Linked DNA regions of Drosophila melanogaster. The protein of the gene in region 1 interacts with the protein of each later gene in a pairwise test. Each region holds a gene or a part of one and is shown on either strand. Other genes may lie near its edges.

Region 1 (15,739 bases):
GATAGTGGTTACGGTAGAGCCCAACCAGATCCCCGCCCCGGGGGCAATACGCACCATCGCCGTTTCCGCCTCCGGTACTGGTCGTCTGGGTCTGCTTTGTGTAGACCAGTGTCTCTTTTGGTGGAATGTTCGTAGCCTGCACATTGTAGACGCTTAGGTTGAGGGGCTGTTTCTTTCCGCCGCTGGTGGGGGGTGCACATAAGAAATTGGTATTAGTTAGGAATCGGTTAAATGGCAATAGCAATAGTACAATACATTGATCGTTAAAACTTAATCAGTACTAAGCCCATTGTCTAATCTGTGTAATACTAATTTTTAAAACGGCTAATGCTAAAATTGAATTGTAAAAATTGCCACGCTCTCTAACCAGGATTCCAATTTTGACTACTGATATTTTTTTATGTTAAGCTTGTAGATGGGGAATCTGTCTCTACAGTTGTTTAGCAAAAAAAACTTAGGGAATCAAATGTCTATACCTATATGACCTGAATATGTCTAATATGCCCTGCGAACTTCTGCTTAAGATGGTAATTCTACTCACAAAGCTTTTGCTATGAACTGGCTTACCTCTGGCCATTGACAGTGGCTTGGAGGCTGGCGTCGGGGGTCTGTGTGTTCGAGTTGTCCGAAGTCATCGAGTTGACGGAGGAGAGTGAGGAAAGGACCTCGGAGACGGGGGCCACGCCCAGCGATGACAGCATTTCGTCGAGATCCCTGAAAGAGGCGAACGAAAGTTGGATGATGGCGGTGCTGAGTCAGCTCTGAGGAGAAGCTTATGGCAAACCCACTTGCGCTGATCCTTGTCGATGCCTGCTCCGCCGCCAATGCGACCGGCCGCCTCCTCCATGTCCTTGATCTCCTTCTCGCGACGCCGGCGATCCTTCTCCTCGCGCAGGGCGGCCAACTTGGCCTTCTTGCGTTCCAGCTCAGCCTTGCGATCCATTTCTCGGGGCGATTAGCTGCTGCGATTTGCTGTTCGAGTGGGCGTTCGGTACGGGACTCTAGATCTCTGGCGGGCCAAGTTCTCTGCAAGGGGGATGCATGATTAATGGTCGCCAATATTGGTAGCTTTGATGATGTCACCAACTGCTGGCCAGAAGCAAAGAAAGTGGGTGCGCTGTGTGGTTCTCCACCGCTCGCTTGGCGTGGCGCAGCCAACTCATATGTTCTCCTATCGCCAAGTGGAGCACATTTCCCGGTAACCCAGTGAGTGGCCGTCACTTTACTTTCCTTTGCTCGGCCAAAAAAAAAAAATCAATAATCCAGCGATTGGACTGTGACGTCTTTTCGCCCTGGCTGCGTTTTTCAACTTCCTTCTCTCACTGCTCTTGTGATTTTTCCATGAAATGCACAAAAACCCACCTCTTGACTGTCTTTACTCGTTGTTCGGCTGCTTTTTAAGTACTTAAATCATCATTTTTCAACAATGTAAAAATGCGACTGACTTTTAATGTTTTGACTAACTAGAGATGGAACATCGCCCACGGCCAGTTACTTCGCACAGTTATTGGCACACGAAGGAGATAATGGGCGCGGCTGGTTTACATAGATGCCCAAAGGGTGTGGAAGACTAGGATTCTTAGCGGGATTCCGAATTCTTAATTAACACAAGTTTAAACACAAGAATAAGATTTTACTACTGTACGGCGATAGCTGTGAACAGCTGTCGTGACAGCGATAGTTCCAGTCTTTCCATGCACTAGCGCAGCGATCTGGCAGCACTACTGCGTTTAGCAGAACGCTGTTAGTTACAGTTACATTTCACATACACTGCAACACACTTTATATTTATTAATATTTATATTTATTTATGGAAGAAATCTACAAATCATGCTTAAATAGAGCTTCAAACTGAATATATATATATATATATATATATATATATTATATTATATATTATTAATTATTAATTATTAATTATTAATATTAATTATAAATATATTAGATTAATATATAATTATATTACCATAATTAATAATAGGTAAAAAGTATGTTAATACAGAGATATGCCGCATTTTAAAATTGTTATGTTATAGGTGGCTTACAGTTATCATAAAAAAGTTTTGCACACTCACACACATGCACTATGAAATATCAGTGTTGCTTTCTGAAGCGTAACTTTTAATTTATAGATTCAAGAGAGGTATCTGTAGGTAAATTCGAATTGATACACAGTACCTTAATGATAATACACTGATGTCCCATATGCATACAAAATTAAATAATCCTTTTAGGTCTAAAATTCAGCTAAAATTAATGCCCACAACCTGTGCATTTGTTTGATTAAAATGCTGAGTGTGAAGTACTACAAAATGTAAAAATTAATTAATTAAGAAAGGTAAGCAAGACTATTCTTGTAAAAAATTACCAATACCGCTGAAATTCCCATAGTGACTCAAAACTACTGAGCTTACAAAATACGTTCAGGGTTCTGAAAGTATGTACATACATACGTATGTACATATGTATGTAGATATGTCGTGTTTTAATTGCCCCTCCAAAGTGCCAATTACATTCAATGCGCGTCTTTGGGCCAGTGAAATCACCAGAACCCGCCGTGGAAATAGAAAGCGCACTTAGGCGATGTGTCTTTCCACAATGTATGCCATAATTTGTGCCACCAATGCCAGATGTTGCTGCAACGCGGGGCGCAAAGCGAATCCAACAGTAGTACGTGCCTTCGGTCGTATCTGAATGTATCCGAAAGTATCTGAAAGTATCTGAAAGATACCGTATCCAAAGTGCCAAGGAAGAGGTTTTCATGGGGTTAAAGCGCCCATGAAACTTTTGGGGATTTTATTTCGATTCGATTTGGCGCATCTGCACATCTGCACATCTGAATTTAAATGCCAGCATTCGACGACCCAAAAACTGTAGTCCGAGTTGCTCGTTTCGTAACCGCATTGATAAACCGGACTCGAACTGGAATCGCTCCGATGATCCCCCATGCTGCAGTAAAAACCTTGAATTGCCAAATCTTCGACTGCTCAACTTTTTGCTCCAGGCCGACAAATCTTGCACATGGGCGGGAGTTGGCAAACCGATGAGCGGATACTTAATATCTTCGCTTTTTCCCCGCGCTAATTGCCAGGCCAAACCTGTCGCACCGAAGTCGAGATGCCAGCGCGATTAGTTTACAAATTAATTTGCCAATTGAATTTCAGATTTAGACGTCTGGCCGGGCTTCCAAGAACCACCTCCACCTGGTTTCCACATGGGATCGGGCGAGAGTAAAAGTGTATTGTTAATTAGCCACTACACGCCGCCAACCTAAACTAGTTTCCCAGCCCGTCTGGTTTGGCCGCATCTCCGATCTCCGATAGCTGATTATATTTTCATTATTTTTTATTTCTTTCCTACTCCGATCGGAGCGGATCGATCGCATCTCCCAAGGACAGCGGCTTTTGGGTCATTGCGTGGCCGCTTAGCATATTTATGCATATATTATGTACATATATTACCGGCATGCTCCGCCGCTTGGCCGCTGGAAGCATCGGGATGACACAGTTTTCCATCCCATGGGCGTAGCTCCTCGGAAATGGCTACACCAAACCAACCCCCCCCCCTCCCCTCCCCCACCAATCACCTGTAGACCAGTTCCCAAGCAGGCAAAACTAGAAATTCTATATTGTATCAGGCATTTCATTGGATTCCTATGGATCACCATGTTTCTAATAGATATACAACATTCAATTTGTAAGATACATTTATTACATTAGTACTTGCTCTTGTTAATTTCATCATATTTTAATATTTCTAAATGATAGTTTATAAAAATGTGCTCTTATTTCAATTATACATATATAATGTATATTATCTTACCTTATTTTACCAAAAGTAATAATGCTAAATTTTTGATTTGCGGGAGTGGCGTTTAAGACATTACCTTCCAACTAATTGGGTGTGTTACTCATTACCAAGTCTTTCATCCGTCCGTCTGCATATATGCAATGTATATATAGTATAATTTAAAGATACAGATCCAGACCGAAACTACGCCCATGGCGTGTCCTCTTCAGCCTTGAAGTCTCAATTTTTGGCTGGCACTTTGGACGAAAGGACGGTCTTCCAACTCCAACTCGTCGCCAAATGGATGGTACCTGTTTGGCTGGCCTTTTGGTCGATCGATGTAAGCCATTTGCATGCGGACCATCAACCCGGCCAACTCAATTCGAGCCAACTGAATTCGGGGATCGTTGACGCATATGAATTTATTTACGTTCATTTTCGTGTGTGTGTGTGTGTTGCTTTTTTGGTCACATCGACACACTGATCGCAGGGAACGCATACCCTACTCGAACCGCATCCATCGGTCGCTCGATCGCATTTGGTTATTTGACGGTCAATACCCGGAAATGTGCAGCTGACCAGATGGCTTACAAGCTGGAATTTTGTATTTTTGCACAGGGTCAACTATTTATTACTCTATATGCCTAAGAACCACCCATTTTTAGCATATAATTTTATTTTTAAGCGAAACAATTGAATTGAAACGCTAATGGAAATCAATTTAACATCTTCTCTACCTGCATAAATGACCGCTAGATGGCTCTGCAGATCAAGATCACTAAAGAATTTGCGGCATTAAAACTGTAATTATACGATAAATAACATTGTTTTTCTTTTTTTTTAATAGCCTTTGAGTATTCTTAAGAGTTCGCTTACAAATACATAGAAGCATTTCCTAATTCTTCCAAGATTTCGATGTAATCTCCAAGTCATCTGATACAGGTGACGCCTTCAACACAGTTGATCAATGCGCGGCCTGAAGAATTCGCGTGGTGCACATTAAGCTAGGGCATCTGGCCAGCGGTTTTCCGGTCCTCGCCCCTGGACTTTCTTGTTTTTGTGCCATTACATCTCTGGCTCGCCTTTCTTCGTCGCCTTTGGAGCCCCGGCTCCATTCCATTCCCATATCCAGTCCAGCTCCAGCCGCAGCTCGTTTGGCCTGGCTCGGTTTCGTGTGGTAGTAGTAGTAGTAGTGGTGGTGGTGGTGGTGGTGATGGTAGTGGCAGTGGCAGTGGCGGGGGCGGTAGTGGCCCCGCCCATTGGCATCACTCTGCCGCAGCCGACGGCGTCGTCGCGTCGTCGGCGACGTCGAGCAGAGCCGGTAAAAAGTCTTGAAAAGTGCGCCTCTTTGGCGTTCCGTTGTTAGTTTAGTTTAACCATCGCAGCGCTTGAGTCGCGATTAGTTGCTCAAGTATCCAGTTGCCAGGATCGTTGCTCTGCTTTTTTTTTCTCAGACCCCGAGTCCAAAATGAAGTTATTTTTATGTGCCATTGCTGTGACCCTGTGTGTGGCGACAAGTGAGTGTGAATCAATGGATCCGTGGGAATGGATCAATGGATCGTTCAATGGATCAGTGGTGCCCAGTTCAAGTGACTGACGACTGACTGGCCAGTGCCAGCCCATCCGCCAAGTCAGAGTCGCAAATTGTTGCTAATTACTTTGACACTGACACCGAAATCAAGACTCGATCTCGATCTGCTGCCGCTGTGTGTTTTGGCCAGCTAAGTAGCTAAGTAGCTAAGAGCTAAGAGCCATAAGTAGCTAATCATATTTAGCCGTCTCGCAAGACTGGGCCTCAGACGCAAATGTTGAATCTGGTCGCGATTGCGGATCTACAGGCCACATGCAGATCGAGATGGAGGGCCGTTTTCCGTCTGGAAAAACTGGAATGCTGGCCAAGCCCAAGATGCTGTCTGGCTGTCTGGGCCGCTGGGGTTATGCAACTCATGCAGTTTGTTGGCCAAGTGGAAAACGGCTCTTCTGGGCCGCAAGAGAAGTGCATTGAACCCGGACCGAACGTCGTAATCTTGGCATTATGCTGAGTATGAAGCCTTCTCTGACATTTAAATTTCGACATTTCGAATCACTTACCGGTGTGTTACGGAAATCCAAAGAATTCGCGTAGTTTGAATTCCCAATTTCGGTTGTAGAAGATATTGTCAGCATAGCGAATGCAAAGGTGTATAGAAGTATGCAGTGATTTTCGCATTGTATACATTTTTTATAGCTATCCTTTAGGCGCCCAAGTAAGAGATTTCACATTGGTTGAGTAAATAGTACTAACCTATATCTAGCTTACCGAAGTCAGTGGGATTCTGGTCAAATGTATCAAGCGATAGCAACCTGTTCCAATGGAAAACCACTGATCATTTCTTGGGCCACCGGGAGTGGTGGCAACCAGGAAACCGCAAATGCGGAATTGCCATCGGTAATCGAACGTCGTTCGATCTGTTACACTTTCGAGTGCGACTGGGGGTCGCCAGGAAAGTGAAAGTGGGAAAACCAGTTGACTGAAGTGCTTGTTTCTTTCCTTTGTTTTACCCCAACACCAGCCGTGTCCGCCGCCAACTTCGAGTGCCCGAAGCCCAATGGCCAGTTCGCCGATGAGGTGCAGTGCGACAAGTTCTACGTCTGCGACGACGGAGTGGCCAAGGCGAAGCTCTGTCCCGATGGCCTGGTCTTCGATCCACTCAACCGCAAGTTCAACAAGTGCGACCAGCCCTTCAATGTGGACTGCGAGGACCGCACTGAGCTCCGTAAGTAGCCCATCCCATCACCATTTCTATTTCTAGGCTATTGTTACCGACCCCTTGGGAATGGTCACGAAAACTATGTCAAGGCAGAGCGCTAAACAGGTTATTCCAATTACATCATTACATCACCATTAACTATGTAGGGAGTTAAATTTAAATTCGCCTCTTAAGTTCAAATTTAGCTTACTAATGAAAGCATCAGTTGAAAGGATGAATTTGTAGCATACTTTTGGACATCTCTATATTTAAAGCAAATACACCACTACAATGAGCTATCCAAAAGTTATGTAGTTGTGTAGCTCCTTTGGTAGACGGAGGAACTAACCCTGTTCGGTTTCCCCTTCACAGAGGAGCCGAAGTCCAGCAAGTACTGCCCGCGCAAGAACGGCTTCTTCGCGCATCCCGATCCCGCCGTGTGCAACATCTTCTACAACTGCATCGAAGGCGACGCCCTGGAGACCAAGTGCACCGTCGGCCTCCACTTCGACGAGTACTCGGGCACCTGCGTGTGGCCGGATACCGCTAAGCGCGAGGGCTGCAATCCGGAGCAGAGTAAGTGGACCGATTGAGTCGCCGTGCGGCGGAGTGGGCTAATGGTCTGGCATGTGGTGTGTACTTTCAGGAACCTCCGAGACCGGCTTCGTGTGCCCCAAGGATCAGCCAAAGACCGACGATCGCGGCCAGGTGGTGACCCACCCCAAGTATCCGCATCCCACCGACTGCCAGAAGTTCTACGTGTGCCTGAACGGCGAGGATCCCAGGGATCTGGGCTGCCAGCTGGGCGAGGTCTACAACGATGCCACCGAGATGTGCGATGCTCCCGAGAATGTGCCCGGCTGCGAGGACTGGTACAAGGATGTGGACGACAAGAAGGACTAAGCCACTTCCGGTCGCTTCTACTTCTCCTCATCACATCCACACTCACAACTCATGCACATGCACACGCACACACAAGCACACTGAAAGAAATTATCAATCAAATCAAATCGAAACAATTCGAAACAAATCAACACACAGATTCGCGTCTTAGTCACTTAAATTTAGTAGTTCTAGCCCATTTCCTATAGAGCGTATGTGTAGCAGTTAAACTTCAATACTCTGACCTATCTATTTCTTAACTATCTTTCTCTATATCTGACTACTTCTAACTACTTTTCTAACTACCCAAATCTCCATTTCTGTGCCCAACCAAACGCTGCCAAATTGTTGTGTATATATTTCCCGCTTTCAGACTTTCGCCTTATTATTATACAAAAAGAATAAACTGAATTTTTTATAAACTATCTATATCTATCTATCTACTATAAACTATCTTCCCAATCCCAAGACTACTACTATTCCATATACTGTTTCAGCTATCCTATGTGATCTTCGCCTAAAATTTCAATTTCCCTCATCTCTACGTTACTCTACTTAACTTCTTATCATATTCCAAAACCAATTTTCTGTCTATAAGGAAACCCACTCTTTACAAACTTTTGTCCTCCTAAAATTTTCAAACTTGAATCTTTTCCGTTCTCTTTTCTTGATTTCTTTCTTTCTATCTTTAAAATTTCAATTTAGTTCGTGTTTTATTGTTTTGCGAACTGTTACGCTACAGTTTATTATTCCTAAAATGCTCCTTTTTTAAGCATTTCAATCCTGTAATCTTGTATTTCACTTCTACCTCAAGTTTCAAATCTAAATCTTTTCTATACATTCTATCTTCCTCATAAATATTTCCTTGTATTTCGATTATACCTACTGTATAAATACTCTTTTAGACTATGCTATATGTTATTTATTAATAAACATCTTGACTTGCCTGCAAAATCCAAACGATAAGAAATTTTCACGTACCTTATTTAAGTAATCATTCAACCGACTGTAAACCCATGACACCCAAACTCACTTCCCATTCTCCGATCTTTCTCGAATTAAAAAAAACTATGTATTTCGAATCTATACAAAACTAGTGTGCATCTCGTGGGGAAATAGCAAAAAAAGGGAGGGGGGGGGGGGGGGGTTGAGTGGTCGATTGACCAATCAATCAAACCTTTCACTCCACACGCAATATCGGATAATCGCCGTGGACGGGCGGGATCGGTGCATCCATTATCCATCATAGCCCTTTGTCCCTCCATCGGTTGCAAAGAGTCTTTAATTGGCCGAGTGGCCAAGCGGACCGCACATTTACACATGTAAATGAACACAAAAAGCAGGCAAGAGTGCTTATGCAATCGCCGCAGCACGAGCAAAGCAAAGCAAAAGCAAAAGTTTTGCAATAGTTAACAATGTAACGGCAATCGGCAAACGGGGCCCAATCATGAATGAAGCTTATGGTCTGCGCGAGCTTTGCCTTTTACTTTCAATCACACATGTTGCCAGAGAAGCTCGATTTCCGCCTTGGCGTGTTTTTCTTTTTCAAGCCAGGAAATGGACCCGAACTAGCTAGGAAACTAGCTAAATCATTGGCAGTGTGGAGCGAAAGCGACCTTGTGCACAGCGTGGATGCTGGATGCATCCTTTTAGATAGCGTTCTAAGTTTTATCTGATTTTATGCAGTGTTTCCACTGTTTGTGGATAACCTAAATTTCAGCTGAATTCGCCATAGCTCGACAATCTTGCAACTGGGAATCAGTAGAAGCTAAAGTACATTTCGCTGTACTATAGAAGTTTATTCTTCATTTCGCTGTACTATAGAAGTTTATTCTTCATTGCATACAACATTATAAGAGATGTAGAAGCACTAGAGATTTCTGCAATGGGATGCGATTGATATGAAACTTTGTATTCCGAATACCACCGAACTGTAAGTCCTCAGATCGAAAATAAATCCCATAAATTCCGTCTGTTATAGGCTCTCAAGTTGGGAAGATGTGGCGAGAAAATGGATTCGAGCGATATAACATTTGGTATATGGTTTGGTATCAAACATATATTCCCAAATTGCGGCTGTTATGTGCAATTAAGAGCGTAAGATGTGGCTGGAATCTGGATGGATTGGCAGCACTGGCAATCCCAAATCCCGTTTTGCATTAAACACCAGCCAGCAACAATGCAACAATGCAACAATGCAACAACAATGCCAGCTGTGACAACACACAGCACCACCCACCGCCCACCTTTGCCGCCCCCAAAAAAAAAATCAAAGGCAAAGCGGTATCGAAAAAAAAAACGAAAAAAGCGAAGTTTTGCAAAACTGTGGTGTCGTTTGTGTGGTTTTTTGTTTTTGATTCGGTTTGGTTTCAGTTATGTTCGGTTTTTCGACCACGTTTCTACTGTATTTTGCCTTTTTTTTGTTTTTTTGTTTTTTTTTTGGCTCTTTGGCTTTGCTGGCGAGTCAACGCTGCGCAGTCGCAGCTCGGCCGCTTCTTCTTCTTCTTCTTGGAGCGCGGTACAAATCTTTTCAGTTGAGTTTGGAACGCGTAACCGTTAAAACGTACAATCTTGGAGCGGAAGTTTCAAGTTTCTCCATTCCACTTTTTGCGCGCATTTGAATATATATATATTTTTTTTACGGTGCGTGTGTGTGCCTTGCTTGTGCTTTTTCACTACTTAATACCACCCATGCATTTCCGCCTAATTCATAAATAATTTGTTTATATCGCATATGTGTTTTTATATGTCAGGCACCAAACATGCAGCGATTCCAAGTGTGCAGCGTCCTGATCCTGGCCTGGATTGCCTGTGGTAAGTGTGCAACAACTATGGCTGCTATTGCAAGTATTACCAGTACCAAAACATAATGCTCTAGAGGGCCTTGGGATAGCGATTCGATGAAACGATTGCCACTCCCGCTCGCAATTAGCACAACCTTTCAATTACTCGCGTGTTTGCGCCTCGAAAACGGAGCTTTTACTTTCAAAAATTCCACTGCAATCGCGTGGAGTGTCCAAATGCGATATATGTATATAATTTATGTACGAACGTCTATATATCGCAGTGCCCCTTCGAATCTAACGGTCTGCTCTTTTGTTCTCGCCTCTAGAATCAAAACGAATCGAATCGAATCGAATCGAGCTCCAGTCTAAATGTATTTTAATTACTGGTTTCTCGAGCCGAAGGCTGCTGCTCCACTTAATCGTAGAGCCCGCCGATCTATAGCCACATCTATACTGCTCCGTACCCTATAGCCATATAACCATGGCTGATTTGGCATGCAGATCATGCGGCCGATCACTTTTGCTTTTGTTTCCACCACTGACTCACTGCAGCGATCTTGGTACTGGGCATGCATATGTACATATGTATGTACACATGTATCATATCATATAATAGCATATAGACATCAGACGTAAGACATCTTAAATCGGCCAGTCGATCCGGCAAGCTAATGAACTAAATAAAACAAATGCCAAACCCTGACAAAAGTAGAACTTGGGCCCGTCAAACCAGTTGACAATTAGGTACGATATCGTTCGCATTATACGATCTAGTTCTGGGTTAACCAAGGCAACCAGTTTCCAACCGGCCCATAAGAAAGGTAGTTGCATAGATCACATCGGATCGCATCGGATTATCGCCATAGATATATCTAATTAATCGCCACCCGTTTTTCGAAAAGCCATCAATGTCGTTTGTGTCACAAGAGGACTGTTTCCCAACTACCAACAACTTCAACACTTCATTCACCACCATGATCCTTAAGCAGTACCATCAATGCTCCTATAAATCTCTATTAGTTGAACATGAACATGGTGGTCATTGTGGTCAATGGAGTACTTAAAGTTTCCAAAGATTTCTATAAGATAGCAAGCTGAAATCATAGAGCAATATGATCGGAGCAAGTTGAACCTCTGAGATAAGGAACAAAAGAATCAGGCAGCGATGACATTTAATCCATAACTTATTGACTTAAATACCGGAAATCTTCACAGATTTCAATTTAGCTGCGTGTTTGCCTTTGGTTTTCGGTTGGCGACTTCGAGAAAATTGTGCGCAGACAGGCAGGCAGACAGCAGTTAGTTCGCTAGTCAGCCACTAGTCACTAGCCATTAGCCATTAACCATTACCCATTAACCAACGACAGCAGTCAACAGTCAACCATCAACCTGTTGCCCGATCTCGATGGCATCGGCGTTTCGGGCTTACATCACACCAGCTCCAAAGCTCCATCGCCACATCTCCATTTCCATTTCCATTTCCAAAGCGATTCGAATCGCTGCTAGACGCGGTGCGAAGATGCGCGAAAGTGTCGTGGTCGCGATTGTGGCGTCACTTGCACTTGCATCAAAACCAGTTGGGCAGGTGAAAAGGCGGAGGCGGAGGCGGTGGAGGAGGAGGAGGGGGAGGCCGATTGGCGGACAGGAAGGAAGTGGACGCCACTGTGGTTCGGGTTTGACAATGGTGGGAACAGTGGTCAACAGTGATTCAAACAATCATCGGTTCAATCGCTACGTTTGCAAGTGCCTATAGCACTTCTACACTGAAAAAAAAAACAAGCGAATGTAATGGTCTAGCTCTTGTAAGTGCAGCGCAAATAAGTACAATTTTTTGATGAATTCAAGGATAGGGAAATAGGTGATGCATTTAGTGAGTTTGTTGTATTGTACGTATTACCTTCCTTGTACGGCTGATATATGTACAATATATAGATTACAAACATAAAAAAATAGTTCTACTATCACAACTATCACAATTGCCATCTGTCCGATTTACAGGACATGCCCTGGCCGTGGGATCCCCGGAGTGCCCCGAGAAGTACGGCGTGCAGGCGTACGCCCACACGGAGAACTGCGACCAGTTCTTCCTCTGCACCAACGGCACCCTGACCCTGGAGACCTGCGAGAACGGACTGCTCTTCGATGGCAAGGGCGCGGTGCACAACCACTGCAACTACAACTGGGCGGTGGACTGCAAGGGCCGCCAGTGGGATCGTGAGTAGCAGCTGGTCGGTCCATCGTGCTGGATTCCCTAACTAAAGCGGTTATTCTTTCTCGCCCGCTAGCCACTCCCATTTCCACGCCGGCCTGCGAGTACCAGTTCGGTCTGTACGCTGTCTCCAAGGACTGCTCCACCACCTACATCAAGTGCGCCCACGGTGAGCCGCACGAGCAGGACTGCGACGCCGGGTTGGCCTACGACGAAAGGATCCATGGCTGCAACTGGCCGGATCAGCTGCTGGAGCACTGCAATCCCGAGGGTGAGATCTAAAGCAAAAGCTGACTACTGGACACTTATGGACACATCAAGTTAGACTTGCAAGCGATTTCCATTCGGTGCTCCATTCCATTCCCCTTTTCGTTCCTAACAGTTGCACAGTGTGTATTCACGTACAAATTTGTAATAACTCGAACTATTCCAGCGGTCGTTGGCTTCAAGTGCCCCACCAAGGTGGACCCCAACTCGGTGGCCGCTCGCTTCTGGCCCTTCCCCCGGTTCCCCGTCGCCGGCGACTGCCACCGCCTGATCACTTGCGTGGAGGGCCATCCGCGCCTGATCAGCTGCGGCGAGGACAAGGTCTTCGACGAGCACACGCTGACCTGCGAGGACCCGGAGTACGCCAGCGGCAGCTGTGCCAACTACGGCAAGTAGGGATCGCCGAGCGATCTGTACATGCACACGAACAAACAAACTGCAACAGTGCAATCTCGATAATGTGAACGTTCAAATTAAAGGAGATACATATGTACATATGTATGTACTTGCTGGCTGCAAATTTGGAGTTATGTTGTTTTGCAGACAACCCCCCCCTCCTAGGTTTACACTGGTTCGCTGCTTCGAGTGCGCACTGTAGGCTCCGACTAACCAACTACTTTCGTCCCTTCATCTCCGCACCTTCGCTGCACTGTAAAAAATGTCCTAGCCCAGTTAGCTTGTTAACCTTTTTGCTTTCTAACCAACCAACCGTCTGTATCTTGCTCTTCTTTCTGTATTATTAACTTGTTTTGTTGTTTGGTCTCTTTTGTATATGAATCGCAATAAAGTTAATTTTATTTATTGTACATTACATCAAGGCGAAAAAGTAGCCATTCTTGGTGGGAGTTTGGTTTGGAAGGTTCTTAAACGACGTACCCATCATAGCCCAGAGCTTTACAATTAGGATTGAGACACGCGACGGCATTAGGAAATATATTAAATATGTTTTATTAAATTGAAATATACCAATTTAGTCTTGTGTAAATCTTAAAATATTTGCTTGTTGCTCTACAAAACCTAAGCTCAAAAATATTACTTTTGGAAGAAAAACATTTAAGTGGTGTTCGTTGAGAGGGACGTTTGGATAATCATTATCATTAGGCAGCTAAAATCAAGCATGCAAAAAAAAAGAAATGCATAATTGGCTACAGCGTTTCAGAACAAATTGAACTTGGCAATAAACCTGTACAAACATAATGCAACAATTGCAGTTGCATTAGCCATTGCTGACCAGAAATGCGATGTTCATTTCTAGTCATTTGCTTGGCGATCCAAAACAGATAAGGAACACAAACAATCCATACACACACACATGGTAAGTGATGTAAAAACTATGCACAATTAGTTCCCATTTTGGAACTAGGAGAAGGGGAAATATAATCGTACAGATCAAATAATTTCCATGGCCAATGACGCCAACCAAAGACTATCACATCGGAAATACAAGGAAGGAGACCTAAACTAACGAACTCATATTGCTCCGCATTCAGTCGACCAGGTGACGGCCATGGTCCTGCGGTGTGGAGAAGATAATTGCGTAGATAAGGCCGTCGCGAACCGATTCGGTGGGGTTGCCCACGTTGAACATGAACTTCACGCGATTGCAGTTGGCATCGGGCACACAGGAGTACATGGGATACCAGCCGGTCTTGTTGAACACCACGTAGATCTTGTAGATCTGGTTTCGGTATATGTACACCGGTCGATCGAACGTGATGTCCAGCAGCGAATCGTAACGCACGCGTGCCGTGCAGTGCGTGTATGTGATGCGTGAGCCGTGCATGTCCTGGATGTGGGCGTACAGCACCTCGGTGTATCGTTCCGTAAAACCGGCAGAAGTCATCAGCTCGCCGCACAGCACGCGCGTGGGCACTTGGACGCCCAGGATCCAAATGTTGGTGTCCACCTGGAACGTTACGCCCGCATCCGTGACGCTGGTGTTGCGGAAGTCAAATTGCCGGGTAAGGGAGCGCATACAGTACGCGCGCACCATGTCGTTGTGCGAATTTCCAGCTGCGGATCCAGCTCCTCCAGCTGCAGCGCCGCCAGCGGGCGCCGGTGCGCCTCGATCGCCGCCATCATCATCATTGGCGGGCGCTGGGACTGGCGCTCCGCTCTCGTAGCCCTCGCCGAAGCAGCGCAGTGGTGCTGGCGCAGGTGCGGCATCCGGTGGGACGCCCACCGGTTCCGGCGGGCGGATGACCAATTCCTCGCCTGCGAAGCCGAATCCCGTGCCCACGGATCCGAAACGGGGCGCAATGCCCATCATCATACCGCCGCCGGAGGGTCCTCCGCTGCGAACTGCCGGTCCCGGTCCCGGGAAACAGACGCCCGAGGGAGCGGCTCCAGTGCGATACGAGGAGGACAATTCTCTCTGGGCGTGTCGGTGGCCCGACTCGTAGAAGTTGCGCGTGCTCCGCGACACGCAGAAGCCTTCGGGCATGTGACAATCGTTGAGCGAGGGACTGGAGATCTTAATCAGGATGGAGAGGGCCTCGTGCTGCTGCAGCAGCTTGGAACGGGCCGGTCCCTCCGCGAACTGCTGCGGCGTCATGGTGAGAAAGCGAATCTTTTTGACCGCCTGCCTGAGCATGGCGCCATCGAGAATGGTGCGCTGGGCGTCCATGATGTTAATCATGTTGGCGGCGGCATCGGCCGAAGCGTCGCTATCGATGATTACCAGGTCGTCGGAGCCGGAAGCCACGTCCAGCGGCGGGGAGGCAGCCGTGGGCGCAGCTGCAGCCGCGGCAGCCGCAGAGGAAGTGGAAGCCATCCCAGCGTCCGTTTCGAAGCTGTCAGCCTCGTCGTCCTGGTGCATGTGCTGCACCATGGCCGCCACATCGGGCTCCATCTTGATCTCTTCGACCAGCACATGGCCGGCAGCATTGTCGGGCGATTCCTTGGTCAGCACCTGACCTCCGCTAGCAGTCTCTTCCTGGCCGGACTCGTTCAGGATGCCCCGCTCACTGGCAAACTTCAGCAGGCAGTTGAACAAATCCAGCTCGGAGTCGATGTTCAGGCGATTCTGGTCAAGAATGGCCATCAGGGTGGAGACCTCGATGTCCAGGAAGCTGGGA
Region 2 (15,901 bases), on another chromosome or scaffold:
TCAGCAATCCCAAACAAGGCTACAATAGTCCATGGCAGTGGACCACGGTGACGGCATCAGGTGAATGACAGTCAAGCCGGGCTCAAAAGGAGCCAGCACCTGGATCGGGAACAAGGACGGCCAGCTATGAGGAGCAGCATCAGCAGCAGGACTACAGCAACTATCACGCCTCGGCCAAGCAACAGCAGCAACAGCAACCACAACTTCCAGCAGCCAACAATCAAAACCACAGCAACAATAGTAGCAATAAATTTTGTTATCCAACGGCAGCGGCCATGGAGAATATGTTCCAGAACAATCAGATGGCGGCCGCTGCCGCCGCACGCGAATCCCTGCTGAATTCATATCTTTATCAAAAGGATAGCGATGCCGGCAATTATATGGCGGAGCAGAGCTACTGGCAACAGCACCAGCAACATCACCACCAACAGCAGCAGCAGCAGCAGCATCAACAACAACAGCAGCAGCAACATCAACAGCAGCAACATCAGCAGCAGCAGCAACACCAACAACAGCAACACCAACAGCAGCAACAGCAACAGAAGCAGCTCCAGCAGCAGCAGCAGCAGCATCAATGGAGCGCCAACAACGGCAGCAGCAACCAAAGGAGCAACAATTATGCCAACAACTATGCGGCGGCAGCCGCTGCCTCCATGTACATGCAACACTTCAATCCCTACATGCAACAGAAGGCGGCGCTGCTGGCGGAGAAGGCTGCCCAAGCGGCGGCGGCGGCTGCAGCGGTCCAGAGCAGTAACGGTAGCAATAAGCACGGACGCTTCGGCGGTGACTACGGCTAGGAGTCGTCCGGTGGGTTCACGGTTCAGCTAACCGAAGCGCAAGACACTTTAGCGCATAAACATAAACATATAGGCATATGTAACACTTGCGTGTAATAATAACTATATATTTAGAGGCATCGTATAGGCCGTTTTACCGCCAGGAATTGGTAAAGGATAAACCATGATTTTCCTTTAGTTTAATACACAGGAACAGCAACAACAAGGTAACCGGAACGCAAACAACAATAATTTATAAACAACAAACAAGGTGGTAAACACAAGCAGAGAGCAGTAAACATAAAAAAAAACTTAAATTGAATTAGTAAAAATTTGTTATTGGTAGTTTGTTAACAAAAAAGAAAAACACAAAAAATATGAAAAGAAAACAAAGAGGAAAAAACAAAAAAAAAACACGACAAGTAAACAAAAAATAATGTAGAGCGCGAAAGCGGAAGGCAAAAGCAAAAAAAAACCTAATTATTGTATTATTGTTAACCAAAATCTATTATTATTATTATTATCTCAAGCTGCGTTATATTATTATTATTATTATTAACTCGTGTGTCTGTATATAGCGTTTTTATCTAGATGTATTACACTTAGTGATCCCCCCACAACCCGATTCCCATCCCTGGAAACCCACATCCGACTATCCTCCAAAAATGCCAGGACAATCCTTGGACCCTTCACCTTCACCTATGACCTCGCCAAAAATCAAACGAAAACAAAGCGCAGCGCTAAAAGGCAAACAACCGATTTTGTATCCATTCCGAAATGTGTTTCTTTTTGTTTTTACTAGTTATTACGCTGATTATTTATGAAATCATCATCCCTAACATGTGCAATCTAACACTTATGTTCTAGATACAAAAAAAAAAAACAAAAAAACCAAACAAACACAAGAATCACAAAACTTATTAACGCGAAAATGGCAAAGCAAAAGCATGAACATGAAAATGGAAAAATAAAGAGAACCCTTTTAGAGAATTTCGCTGATAAAGGCAACAGAATAGCAAATCGCCACCGAGACTTTTAATTCAGCGGGTTTGGTTGGATCATCCAAATATGATGATTATGATGCAGATGATGCACTTGCACAAGTGGTTCTGTATAAATATAGTTATATTTGCATCTCAAGTTCAGTGTATAATAGGCATATAAAAGTTAATTTCTGTATAAATACGCAACTTTTCACTTACAAACAACATTATGTAATATTTTTTCTGTTTAACATTTAGTTAGAACCACGCTTAAAGTAAGAGTTCCTTTCGAAGGCATTTGAAATGCGCGCGTGCGAATGTTTTCAGCTATGTATCTCTGTGTGGAAGTGTGTGCCCGGTGCGGTTTCTTTGTGCTCCCAGCCGTCGATCTCTTCAGCGATGAGTCGTCGTCGCCATGGGCCAAGGGCCAATCTACTCAATCTGACGGCTGGCCTCCTGCAGGCGCGCCACCACGCCCTGGTAAAACTTAATCTGTTCGGCAATGAAATTCTTAAGCGTATGCTTCAAATGCGTATCCCGCTCGCTCTTGAAGTGGGTCAGCTCGGCCAGCACCGTGTAGGAGACGACATCTGTGCGCCGGTTAACGTCGTGCAACTGGGGATTATTCATCCTGCCCTCGCCGGCCAATTTCTCGCAGTCCTTTCGCTTCTGTATGGCACCCTTGTGCGTGGAGAAGATGTCCGGAAAGCAGTTGAGAACGCCCCTATTTGGAAAAGTGAAAGTAAGAATTAGATAATGCTTCTAGATCGTTCTATAAACAAATAGCGACGGAAAGTTACCACATTCTCTAGAAGTTATATATATATTATACATATGTATATCTATGTATATATTTCTTGTTAAACTAAAGGTCAGTCAGCGTAAGAACCACAATAATCTAAAATAAACTATTGGCCAACAATCGATTTTTCTCGCGAAACTATACATTGATTCATTGCTTAAAAGTAAACAATTTGAGTTCTTTATAAATAAACTTGATACCTTAAAAACAATTTACAAGAAAGTAATCTATCGAAAATTTTTAATTGTGAGTAATTCAGCCATATATGTATGTGCCTATTGTAACTTCTAGTATAGAAATGACACATGTCGTGGAATTCCCATTTTCAGTCAGCTAATCAATTACTGATGAATGAAACGAAATGTGCTATGCTTCCCATCACTTATAGAGACGTCAACCCACCTGTAGATGTGAAGTCGATCCGAGAGGGGAATCCAATCATGCTTTGGCTGGTCGCCAAAGGCCTGTCCAATACCGATAAAGATGCCACCGATGCGGCCGACGCTCTCGGAGAGCGGAACCGCGTTTCGGGTGGGCGCACGCCGCTCATCGATGGCCAATGCCTTGGCCAGGTCGGAGAGTCCGTCGCCAATGCGCTGGAACTCCTTTTTACTCTGCGACATGGAGCGCTTGGCCATGTCGTTGGATATATTGTTCAGGTTGCGTACTGCCACGTCCATGCTGTGTATGAACTGGGTGCCCAGCTCCACCTGTGCGTCCACCTTAGAGTGCAGCAGGTTCTTGTCCGGCGGCGAGATGGCCAGGCAGTAGTTGACGCCCATGTAGGGATCCCGTTCCGCCTTGCGTTTGCCCGACTTCCAGATCTTCTCGTCGCGGCAAGTGAGGAAATGGTACCAGACCTCGCATTTGGAGATCACCGGATGGCGGCACACCCAGTCGACGAACTCCTGCAGCTGCACACGTCGATGCTCCACGAATTGCTCCTCATAGCGGCCGGAGATCTGCTTGTCCGGCAGCGGTGGCACCGGAATCAGGCAAAACTTGTCCACCAAACGTTCGTGCAGCCAGTCGAAGTGCTTGTAGCGACGTGACACCTAACGAAAGGGAAACCCAGATTAGATATGACCAATTAATTGTGATTGGGTCACGCAAAGAGGAGCCCGGAGCTCGGGGGGTCAGAGCTCGTTGCTGAGTCATTCCCCGTGGCGGTTCGCAAGCACAAGCAATCATCGCAGTGCCGCTGGCTACCAGTTGGTCAGAATTGCCCCCACAAAGAAGAATTTTAAGTGCTTTTACGACTCTGTAATGCTCTACCTATTTGTATGTGTATTTTAATGGACTGAAAGAACTTTACAAAGAGCTTTGATTTCAGTTCGAAAGTAATGTCGAGCATTTATGCTTCTCATTATTGTAATGAATAAAGTTGATCGAAATTATCAAAATACTATTTAAGTAGCTAATAAGAAATGAACTATAGCTTTGAATAGTATTAAAACTTTAACAAATAAAAAGATAAATTTAGCCAATTTTCAGAGTCTTAATAAAACAAACCAATTAAAGAAATGGATATGATCTCCATTTAAATTTTCTCAGCAAAAAAGGGTCACTTTTAAGGTCAACTCAGTTGGAAAATGTTGGCCGGCAATTAGTGCGGAGTTTCGATAAACAAAGGATTGGTCTTTCTTTATTCCATTCCATCTGCTCGTGAGCACATGAACCAGCCCAAATTACCCTTGGCAGAGGGTAGCGAACACAGCACAGACACATATTATCAACAAAATATTGCACCCGTAGTTACACACTCATGCGCCAACGGTCGGAGCTTTATCGTATTGTGTTGTTAATCACGGCGATATCAGGGTTGGCCAACTTACGGATATGTTGTTGAAGCTAGGCGTCAGTTGGTAGGCAATGAACGTCTTCATCCCCTTGAATTTGGACTCCTTTTTGGGACTGGCCACCACAACGGAGTAGGGCGAATGGTTCTGCGTCCACTGGTAGATCGAGTCCTCCACCTGTGTAATGTAGGCCATCTCGCATTCGGGTATCTTCTCCTTGGTGCTGGACAAGCCGAGTATATATGAATCGGAACTTTTGGCGAACATGCCCTTTTTGACGGTGCCAGCAGCACCAGTCCCACCAGCCACGGAGGCCAGTGATTGGGTATCATCGTTGGGCGCGATGGGCAGGTGTTTGTTATCGTAGTCACTGGTGGAATGCGACAATCCGCCAGCGCGAGCCGACTGTCCCGCAGACTTCTGGCCACCTGGACCAATTTCCGAGTACGTGTCATTGTCGTCGCTCCAATCGTCCTCATCATCCCAGTTGCTGCCATCATCATCCGCCGTCTGATCGTAACGCGGCAAAGGGGGCGAGGCGAAGGGATCCGGAACCTGTGGCACCGACGTCGCTCCACTGGCGCTCAGCTTCTGGGCTTCGGCCGCCGACATCACCTCCACGTACGCAGCCGGGAAGAGGCCAATCTGGCCACGGGCATTCTTGCCCTCCCACCAGCCTTCACCCACATCGCTCCGGGTCACCGAGAGCACGTCGCCAGTCGCGATGGAGAGCTCCGAGGAGCCCGGCTCCCCGGTAAAGTCGTACATGGCACGCACGTACGAGGTCATCTTGGTGCTCTCCTGGTCGTTCCTTTACGCTAATTCGAGTCCTGTCTTCACAGGGGCCATAAACAGACAAGAAATATCTACTAATTCTGAATCACCAAGTGTGAAGTGTTACCGTTTCTTGGATTACGGAATTAAACTGACACTGACGTCTTCTTCGCTCTGCAGCAACAAGATATAATGATGATACAGCAATTTTATTAGGGGTATTCCCCCAACACACCTGAATTCTACACTTGGAACAGAGGCACTCTCTAATTTGATAAATAATTATAAAAACTTCATATTTATACTGTACTACTACTATATACTCACTAAAATAAAATAATATAAATGGTACATTTAAGTCGATCAAATTAAATTAATGAGTTATTGCGTTATCAAGAAAGATTTAGCTGTGAAAAATTACTTATGTTTATATAGATTTAACCTACAAATATTTCAAATAAATTGCTAGGTGGGTATACAATTTTATAGTAATAAATCAAGTAAAATATAAGGACAAATTTATGATCATAATTTTATATTGCACCAAATGCGAGGCGTTTCAACTACATTACGGTCTCCCCCTACTGATAAGCGCCGAGTGCCAGGGCTGCAGAGCACGGCTCAGCTGTCGATGTATCGGGATGCATCGAAGTATCGAGTTGGCATAAAAGAATCTGGTCTTCGTGTCGTGTTATTCATTCCTTAATTGCGCCTTGCTTTAATTTGTGGGTGAGCGAAATCGGAGCTCGGCGACATCGCCAGTTGTGCAATACTGACTCCAGCGGTATCTGTTAATCCCCAACCACTTCGCAAACGTATTTTCTTTGCCTTGCAGATTTGCTGACTTTGTCGTTCGAGTACTCAGCGTTTAACGACCACAATGAATCGGCAGGCGAAATTCCTAATCTTGTGCCTCTTTGTGGGCCTCTTCTCCGCGAATTTGTGCGAAGAAGGTGAGTCTTTGATCAAATTACACCGAATTAAAATCGAATTGAAGACACGCCGAACACTCATTTCTCAATTATGCACTCGGACACACACACACACACGCTTGCATGTGCATGCGTACGTGTGCGCAAACCCCTCGCGTGTGTGCGCCGTGCGGGCATGTGGGTGTGTGTGTGCATGAATGTGCGTGTGTGTGGATGTGGGGGTTTTTTAAATGCCAATTCCTATATTGAATATCAATTCTCCGGCCATTTTCTCTTACTCCGACTTTGGGGGAATGTTCTCCGCATAAGAACTGCAAATCTACAGCTTTCCAAAAGAAACTTGGAATTTACGAAAGTCCGTAAATTGTCACATTACCATACGTTAATATTTGTGGACATTTGGTAAATATGTATTTACCGAGCTGTAACCATATTTTGTTCGCAAGCATTTATTTAAATCGTCACGTCCTAATTACCATACGAAAATATTTGTACATATTTTAGGATTTAAAGAGATTTTGACCATATTTTGTTGACAAACAATTTAATGTTTACTTTTTCAGCTTTCTTAAATTTCCATTCCTTAAATTCCATTATTGCATACAAATAAATATCACCTAAATGCTGCCTATTTTGAATATAGTAATCTTTATTTTCCGAACCAAATCAATTTGTTTTGTTACGTTTTTCTATTTTGTTTGACAATTTTGACATCATTTACATGTGCAATGGAACTATTTTTATTTTCAATTCTTACAAAACATGTGTATTCGTTGTGCTTTTTGAAATATTGGAAATCGATCAATAAGAGTCGTTGTGAACTTATCATGCTTACCAATTTATTTGCTTTTAACTTTGGAGTGACGCATAAGTTTTTATCTATAATATTCGTTGCTGATTACTGCACACAAGCCCTGTTTTTTTGAAGCTATGATAGGCGCTGTTCTTACTTAAAATTATTTTTTTACGATGTATTCATTCTGAAATAAGAAATATGAACGTATCAAAAAGGGTTGATTAAAAAAAACCACACATTGGGTTCATTACTATAATATTTACTACACTTGAGTCTATCTGATGTGAAATAGTTTTACGAACTTATCATAAGCTAATATTTATAAACTCTTTTTATTTGCCTTAGCAGTGACCACACCGGCTCCAGCGGACACCACCACCCAGGAATCCAAGAACACCACCACTCCGCCGGACACCACCACTACTGTGACGCCACCGTCGACCTCAACCACGAGCACCACAACTGAAAAGACCACGACGACGCCACCAATTACCACATCGACTGAGAAGACCACAACTTCCACTACTCCAGCCAGCACCACCAGCAGCACCACTCCGGCCAGCACCACCAGCAGCACCACTCCGGCAACGACCACCACCACGCCTGGAACTACATCTACGACCACTCCGTCTCCGAACTCGACCACAACTACGCCGCCGCCACACACATCAACCACTCCGGCGCCGAAGCCCGTGCCGTGCGGTCATTTCGATGGATCCTCGTTCATTGGCGGCATTGTGCTGACTCTGGGCCTGCTCGCTATCGGCTTAGTGGCCTACAAGTTCTACAAGGCCCGCAACGAGCGCAACTACCACACCCTTTGAGCCGCCACCGCCTTTACGTCGGCCTTCAATGCGGCAGCCGGAGCTGCGGCGGCCAGCAGCAGTGCCGCATCCACGGATGCGGAGCGCGTGCGGTTTGTCCAGCCTTCGATACCGCTAAGGTCGCCGCCAACGCAGCCGCCACCACCACCACCCACCCACATGGGTGGCAGTGGTGGTGGTGCGGCTGCAGCTCCACAAAACTGCTCGCCGTCGGCCCGAGATCGGTTGCTGCACACGTAATTTAAAAGCGGGGAGCCACACCATATTACCCAATATAATTAATATCCAAAGAGATGCCCCTATACCCCGATTCCCCAACAAAACACACACACACACACAGAGATACAAACGGCAGTCAAGTAAAGTCAGTTCTTAAATTGAAACGATAACCCCCTGAGCGGATTTAATACGGGCCCAGATAGTAGGAGCAGGCTCTACATTCTTGAATTACTTCCCTTATCTCAGTCATACAGAAAATGTAAAAACAAAGTAAATATTTTTCCTTTAATGCATTGCATTCAATATGTAAGGGTACGGTTTTTTGCAAACATCAGTTTATCAGCAACTTGAGCGGATGTTCAACGCCTTATATAAGAGGAGTCCGGGGAGCCTGTCACAGGGTCTTCCCAGGGCGACCATGAACCGAGAAATGAGTTATGAGATCGAAACGAAACGAGACGAGAGGAGTAAGAACAAATAACAGCAAATATGTGAGACTGCTTGATAGCGAGAAAGTGAAGAGATCAGAAAGTGGAAAGCGGCTGGCGACGGCTTTGTTTCTGTAATTCATAGGGAGCTACGAAAAGGAAATATAAATTTTTATTATATTTACACAATTTTTGAATAACTAAAATCGATTCATTCTAGGAACTAAGAATACATATGTACTACCTAAAACCGAGCTAAACACAATGGGAAACGCGTTTCAATTTTCTCATTTAATGTGCATTTTTTCTCCGGTCTTTGCCCACTTGTTCTATCGATTCTGCTCACCCCGCCATTCCCGGGGTCCGTAGTATTGCAAAAAATCAATATAGCTACTAACGATGCACAGCAACAGGATTTACGGATTGCCGTGCACGGTTGATATGCGTTTATATGCGATATAAACAAATGTACACATGTTTGTATACTGCTGAAGTAGATTTTGATTCGAGATTCGATGAAAGCCCCATGTTAATGCATACACGCAAATGTTGAATATTTTGTACTAGAATGGAAACTATACATATGAATTACGTTTACCTAACCATACCGCGCTTGCTGTTGGATTAATACACATTTGAAGCTACAAATCGATCACATAAGCCCGTCAAGTTTACGCAAATGAACGAAAACTCTGTTGCACATGAAAATCTAATAAGTATATAAGCTAAAGTAACCAATCAATGTATATCCAGTAAATCACTCAGCCGGCTTACTAATAATATATATATTTATATATATATATCTATGTCTGTATATCGTGTACGATAATAAATATTTTAAAAATTTAACTGCATTCTTACTGTACTAGCAACCACTGTAAACCAGAATTTACGATTGAAACACGTTTCGCATATTGGTTTTTTACACCTAATTAATGGTCAATCAAAAGGGGGGAATTTTATTTAAATTATCAAACATTAACTACACTCTATTCTGCGGTTAGTTTCTTTAACTTCTTGGGTGTCTTAATATTAGGTGTTTTCTCCTTGGGCGACTTTCTCTTAAGGTTTTCCTTCGGCTGGTGCTTAGTATTTACTTCTGGTTTCTTAATTTTAGGTGCTTCTCCTTTTTCCGACTTGGACTTCTTATCGTTTTGTTTCGTACTCAGTGGATTCTTCTCTGGGGATTTCCCTTTCTCGGCCTTTCGCTTGAGCTTATTTTTAGAGCTCCGCTTGTTCTGAGTGTTGAAGCGCAATATAAGTGGCGTGCCAGCCAGGCTGAGCTTCTCCTTGATGGCCTTGCGTGCATCGTGGGTCGTTGGCAGGGTTACGGTCGCCGTGCTGTAGTCCCGGAATTTACCCTTGCCCGGTCGTATTTGAATGTCCACTGCCTGGTCGTGGAACAGCTGGCGCACCTGGGGCAACGAACTGGTCTTTGGCAGATTGGTAATGACCACGGACGAGGTGAAGTTACCCTTGGTGAGGACCTTCTTAGTAGCACGCTTCATCAGGGCCTTGGTACGTTTGTTTACGATGGATGTCTGCTTGCGGGTCACCAGCTCGTTGACAAAATCATCGGAATCCGTCTTAGGCAGTGATACGAATAAGCCCTTGTGCTTGTCATCCTTTTCGATCGAAGCCTTGATATCCTTAAAGGCTTGATCGCGATCTTCCTTCGACTTGAAATCGACGAGGCAGAAACGTGCATGCTTCTGGCGAGGCTTTGTGGACTTCAGAACCAGTGGATGCAGAGCCTTCACCTTGGCATTGAATTCATCCAAGTCCAGGGGCAGTTTTTGGGGAAACCGGACATACAGCCGGGTGCCCTTTAACTGCTCGTACTTGGTGTGGATCTTCTCGTCGATAATCTCGGCACGGCTTTTGGGCTGCGGTTTGATTGTATCTTCCTCCTCACCATCATCTTCATCGGATTCGGTGTCACTGGCGTCCAGATCCAGTTCGGATCCATCGGAATCTTCGTCTTCGGAGTCGTCCGCCTGCAGCTGGTCCTCGTCGGAGTCCTCTGCCTGTAGCTCCTCCTCGTCGGAAGCCTCGGAGTTTTCGGACTGCACTTCCTCCTCCTCGGATGCACTTTCCACCTGCTTTTTCTTCATGTTTTACCGGAAAATTAAAATGTTTTCTTTTCGAATTCAACTTGCACGTGTAAACGGCGGTGTGACCAGATCTTAACAAAAAACTAAAGGCCGACTAATCAAAGCTAGAATTAGTGATGACAATCTGCTTACCAAAATCTAACCGAAAGTGTATATATTAGAAAATATTTAATGAATGTATAAATTTTTTATAGAATTAAGATGCATAGCCTATATATGGTTTAAATATATACCGATACTTTGTATTGGCGCTGTGGACTTCGGCTAATTCCGATACAACAAATCTAGCTATAAAAAAACAAACAGCTCTGACGGACAGTTTCTTTTATTTAGAATTTTCAAACCACAACACGAAAATGGAAAATGAATTCTTTTGGAATGACTTTAAATTGAAACAACCTCCGTTGGTGACGCTGCTGGTGAAGGACACGGGTTTCGGTATGTTGTTACCCTTGGCCATCTGAAACAATCACAAAATCAAGGGATCTCTCCTTCCAAACAGCAAAAAATGTGTTCGTGGTCATCAACAGGTTCCTGCAACAGTTGTCCGAACCGGATGCCAAGGATTTCGAGGAGACGGCGGCGATGATTGGACGACTAATGGCTCGCCGGAAGAACTCCTTCCGCAATATGCCGGGATTTCGTTCCGTCTGCAAACTTAATGCGGCACTGTGCCGCCTGCTGCGCTTGGATTTGGCCAGGGATCTGAAAAACTTTCGCGGTGTGCTGCCGGATGTGTGCGATGAAGATTTGGGCGGAGCCATGCCCACGCGAAGCAGCTTTGAGTTTATTTTGGTGCGTCTCCTGGGTTTTTATCATCTGCACGAGCGGATCAGGGAATGCTGCCTCAGTGCAGCCGCATACTTCACTCAACTCCTGCGCAACAACTTCTTCATGGACTTCACCACGCTGCTAATCGCTGCCATTGCCAAGATTAGCAAACTGAGCTCCTTGCAGGCCGGCAAAAGTGCCATACTTTACAACAAACTGCGCCCCCAGATTGCTAACTTTCCGCAGGTGGAGAAGCACAAGTTTCTGGCGGAGAATCAAGAGCTTCCTGCCAGATTAGAACCTCCAACGAGAACTAATAACCAAACGCAGAAAGACGAAACACCAGACATTGTCCTGATACCGAAAAAAGTCGTCACCAAAGTAGAAAAAGCCAAACTGTTGGCCAAATCTGATGTGGGCACCATAATTGCCAGGAAGGAAACACCCGTTCAAGATACAAAGAAACCCACATTCAATGAAAACGTTCTGGCCACGGTGGCGGATGCACAGAAGTTCATTGAACGCGAGTCGCAGGCCAGGAAACTGAATCCTCCTCCAGAAAGTTGTTTTACCAGAAAGATAGCCAAGCACGAGTGGCTGGCCGCACAGACGATGTTCAATCGCAAGTTGTCCAAGGAGCCGGAAAAGGCGTTGAACATATTTCGCAAGTTTATTGTTAGCAAAATAAAGTAACTTCACAAGCGACGGTTAATTACGTTTAGGCACGACATTAAACACAGGTTACCATACCATCAGCCAGCCGAAGACTCTTAAGCGCAACAATTCGCTTTTGGGGATGAGGATTTTTGGTCTAACAGAGGTACACAAATAAATAAGTCGTTTTAATATTTGTTATTAATTCGAGACTCACCTTTACAAACTTCTTAAAGTTCTTGCGGCCGCCATGCTTGTTCACAGAATCCTCAAGAGAAGCATCCACTTCCTCCTGGGAGCGAATGACAATGTTTAAGTTGCACATGCGCACCTCAATGCTGTCTTTCATGGCGGCCAGCCATTGCTCCTCATCGGGATCCGCCTTAATAGAGGTTTCCATCTTAACTGAGTCTGCATCTATTTCGGATTTGATATTATCGTTTAGCCTGCTACACGATAACCAACCACTGATGTCCACTTTCTTGGGTCTATCTCTACGCGGTGCCACTATGTACTTGGATTGCTTCTTGCTTTCCGTTTCGGGTACAAATGGTTCGGTTAACCGGGAATCCTCGTCATCATGATCAGACGGTCTTTCAGAGTTGAAGTTAAACAAGCCATCCGTGGAGTCATCATTTCTCTGAGCCTCTTGCGTCTTTCGTTTCTTTTTGCTGTCTGCAAAGTTAAAAAGATTATCACAATCATCGCTGTCGCTTTCGTTTAGCAGCTCAAGGCGTAAACGCTTGCGCGGTTGTGTCTGGGATTGGGACTCCAATTGGGGTGGCACTGGAGCTGGTTCTTGTGCCTGTGATTTCTCTAGAAAGTCGACTACACTGATTCTGGCAGGTGCATTGCCTTTGCCTGCGATTCTTGGCTGAACCACAGTCTCTGCTGGCTTCTGTGGAGATTTACGGAATTGAAATAGGTCCCCTTCATCTTCTTCGTCACTCGAGGCCACCGATAAAACAGGACGTTTTGCAGGCACTGCATGTTTGTCAGCCGGTTGGTTGGTAATATTTGTGGCCAATGATTTCCCATTGAGTCGTGGTGAAATCCTGGTGGCAACGGGTGCTTCCGTTTTCTTCTTGGCCATCGAAGGGATAGTTGGAGCTGGCGTTTCTTTTGGTTTCCGAGCATTTTCGTTCTCCTCATCCGATGAGTCAACACAAAAAACCTGTTTGGTCTTCCGTGTTATGTGCTTACTCGCAGCTGGAACAGGTGGATGTACGGATTTCTCCTCAGCGATGGCTTTGCTCTGCCTTGTTACTCGTTGAACTGGAGCAGGCGCCGGAGCTGGTGTCACATCTTCTTCCAAAGACGAGTCCAACAATATGGCATTCTTTGATTTCATGGTCAGTTTCGTAGCGATATCCGATTTAGCTCGCTTAGACAATGTTGATTTCTTCTCCTCGTCCGAGGAGTCAACTGTTGAGGCATGACTCCGCTTACGCAAAGAAGCTTGGTCCTCCGAATGGGGCTTAGAAGCATCTTGTTCCATTTCACATTCAATTGACTCAGGCACCACCAGTTCGGAAATGGGCGTGGCATTGGATTGCGCCGAGTGGCGTTCCGTGTTGGGCACAATGATCGAAGAGTTAAAGGCCATCGAGGAAGTTACAGACTCCGTGGTGGGCAATGAATCGGAGATGAACTTGTGCGTTGGGTTGCAGAATTCTGTTATAGAGCAATGTATTAGGGCCATGCCAATCTCGTACTCCTGGATAATACGTCGACCATTCTGTTCCAAAATATCTAAAAATTATAATACATAATAATACTTAAACGCTGTGATGTGAGCAATATATTTACACCTATCTTGTATACTATTGATTGATTCAGTGGCCTGCGACTGGGACGATGGCACATACTGTATGACTATCACATCACTCTTTGTTAGGAATGTTTTGCGCACACCCGAATTGATGTCCTTGCACGTGGCTCCAGCCTTCTGCACAACTGATCCGTACATATCAAAGTGTTTGCGGTTCATGAAGACGAATGTCTTGCCGGCGAAGAGACGGGTACGCTCAGGACGCCAGGTGACATCTATGTTGGTGGGCTGGTAATCCTCCGGCTGAGGCCAGCCCTCCTTGACATGGATGCTCTGCGCTGCCTGCAGCATCTTTCGCCAGTAGGGGAATGTCACAATCGGCTTATTCTCGAGCATAGCGTGCAGTAGTTTCACGGTCACCGAAACTTCGTTCATGGTTAGATGGGAGCACTCTTCGGTCCAGTTCGAAGTGACCGTGCCGCCCATGGGTTCAAGCATCTTCGTGAGCTCCTGGACCTCGGAACGCGTTAATGCGGAGACAGTTGTAACCAACTTCAGTTGGGTCACCTGCCAAATGCTCATGTTTGCGCCAAATCGCAAGCGTGTGCCCACAGGCAATGGAGTCGATGTTTTGGCAGGCACCTTGCGCGGCTTTTGGGAATTCTTGGGGAAAATGAAAGTGCCATATCTGGAGCCAAGGTCCTCGATATGCAGGGTGTCATCGCCATCCGCTTCCGTTTGGATGAGCAGCTGGGCATGATTGCGACTTATACTGAGGTCCTGCGCAACAATTAAATCCGTGGCCAGGCGACCAATGGTGTACACCTTTTTGCCAGGAAACAACACAAACTTTTCGTCATCTATAAAGAGTATTTAAAAAATGAATAAACTAATAATCTCTGTGTTTTAGACCATTTTTACGTGCCTTTAGTCAAAACAAACATAATTTCAAAACATTAACAAATTCAACAAATAGCGAGCAGTGTGACCTTAGCAGATTTGCAAATTATCTACACAGAGACAAAGAAGGAGTGAGAATAATAGGCTACATCACTTTCTACATAATTTTCTAAGTTAATAGTTGTTTCTTAAATTGATTTTTTTCTTATTTTAGAAATCAGGATAATTTTATTATCGATCGACAAACGCTTATAAAGAATTGACAATATAGACTTTGGATTCAAACGTTTTTTTTACTGTTAAGTGACCAGCTATCGCTGCAATGATACCGGAGTTTCCTACGAACGACAAATTAGCAAGAAGAAGCATTTGCAGCCGGTTTGTTTTTGTGTCGTTTGGCTAATGAAAACCTCAATAAACACGATTTATCTGCGATAAATGTGAGTGAGGAAACCTGTAACCATGTCTCACCTGACCGGCACCCGCGTGAGCACCTTCAACGAGAGCTTCCTTAACGAAAATGAGCACGACTCGAATGCGGTGCTCATGGAACTGGACAAGGGACTGCGGAGCACCAAGCAGGGAATCCAGTGCGAGGCGGTCGTCCGCTTTCCGCGCCTCTTCGAGAAGTATCCGTTTCCCATTCTCATCAACTCGTCGTTCATTAAGCTGGCCGATTACTTTGTCAGCGGATCGAATCTGCTGCGCTTCTGGGTGCTCCGTGTTTGCCAGCAGAGCGAGAATCATCTGGACAAGATCCTCAACATTGACAGCTTTGTGCGCTGTATCTTTGTGGTGATGCACTCCAACGATCCGGTGGCGCGTGCTCTCCTCCTGCGCACCTTGGGCGCCGTTTCCCGTGTGATTCCCGAGAAGCAACAGGTTCATCATGCCATTCGACGTGCTCTGGATAGCCACGATACCGTCGAGGTGGAGGCTGCCATCTATGCCAGCAGCTGCTTTGCCGCCCAGTCAAGTTCCTTTGCCATCAGCATGTGCGCCAAGATTTCGGACATGATCGAATCGCTTCAGGTGCCGGTGCCAATGAAGCTGCTCCTGATTCCCGTGTTGCGACACATGCATCACGAGGCTACCACAGCGTCACTGGTTAGCAGACTGTGCATGGATCTGCTGCCCAAATATCCAGCCCAGAGCTTTGTGGTGGCCATCATAGACACGCTCACTCAATTGTCATCACGAACGCTGGTGGGAGTGCCCGGTCAGCTGGATGTTCTGCTGGATTTCATGCAGGACTTAAGGACACCAGTACGCATACAGGTGCTGCGATCTTTCAACGAGTTGGCCGGACGTCAGAGCGTTCATGCCTGGCCCAAGCCAGCCATCAAAGCGCTCAT

Evidence for each region.
Region 2: the proteins of obst-A (region 1) and vsg interact in a two-hybrid assay, tested with the Drosophila melanogaster proteins (one large-scale study listed by BioGRID).

Annotation. Positions count from the first base shown.
Region 1 is NC_004354.4:20,234,721-20,250,459, forward strand, and holds obst-A (obstructor-A), read left to right. Parts: upstream 1-5,134; 5' UTR 5,135-5,257; coding exon 5,258-5,306; intron 5,307-6,341; coding exon 6,342-6,545; intron 6,546-6,890; coding exon 6,891-7,094; intron 7,095-7,164; coding exon 7,165-7,421; 3' UTR 7,422-8,489; downstream 8,490-15,739. Other genes in the region: sw (short wing), read right to left, coding at 55-182, 568-714, 789-943; Peritrophin-A (peritrophin A), read left to right, coding at 10,163-10,214, 12,185-12,400, 12,472-12,666, 12,829-13,058; CG17068 (uncharacterized protein), read right to left, coding at 14,149-15,739.
Region 2 is NT_037436.4:9,708,534-9,724,434, forward strand, and holds vsg (visgun), read left to right. Parts: upstream 1-5,790; 5' UTR 5,791-6,017; coding exon 6,018-6,090; intron 6,091-7,210; coding exon 7,211-7,689; coding exon of another isoform or gene 7,690-7,929; 3' UTR 7,930-9,183; downstream 9,184-15,901. Other genes in the region: CG16711 (uncharacterized protein), read left to right, coding at 5-68; SH3PX1 (SH3 and PX domain containing 1), read right to left, coding at 2,195-2,486, 2,967-3,619, 4,400-5,152; CG18178 (uncharacterized protein), read right to left, coding at 9,326-10,450; CG14174 (uncharacterized protein), read left to right, coding at 10,807-10,888, 10,953-11,914; nbs, read right to left, coding at 11,952-12,032, 12,093-13,627, 13,685-14,506, 14,572-14,590; defl (deflated), read left to right, coding at 15,009-15,901.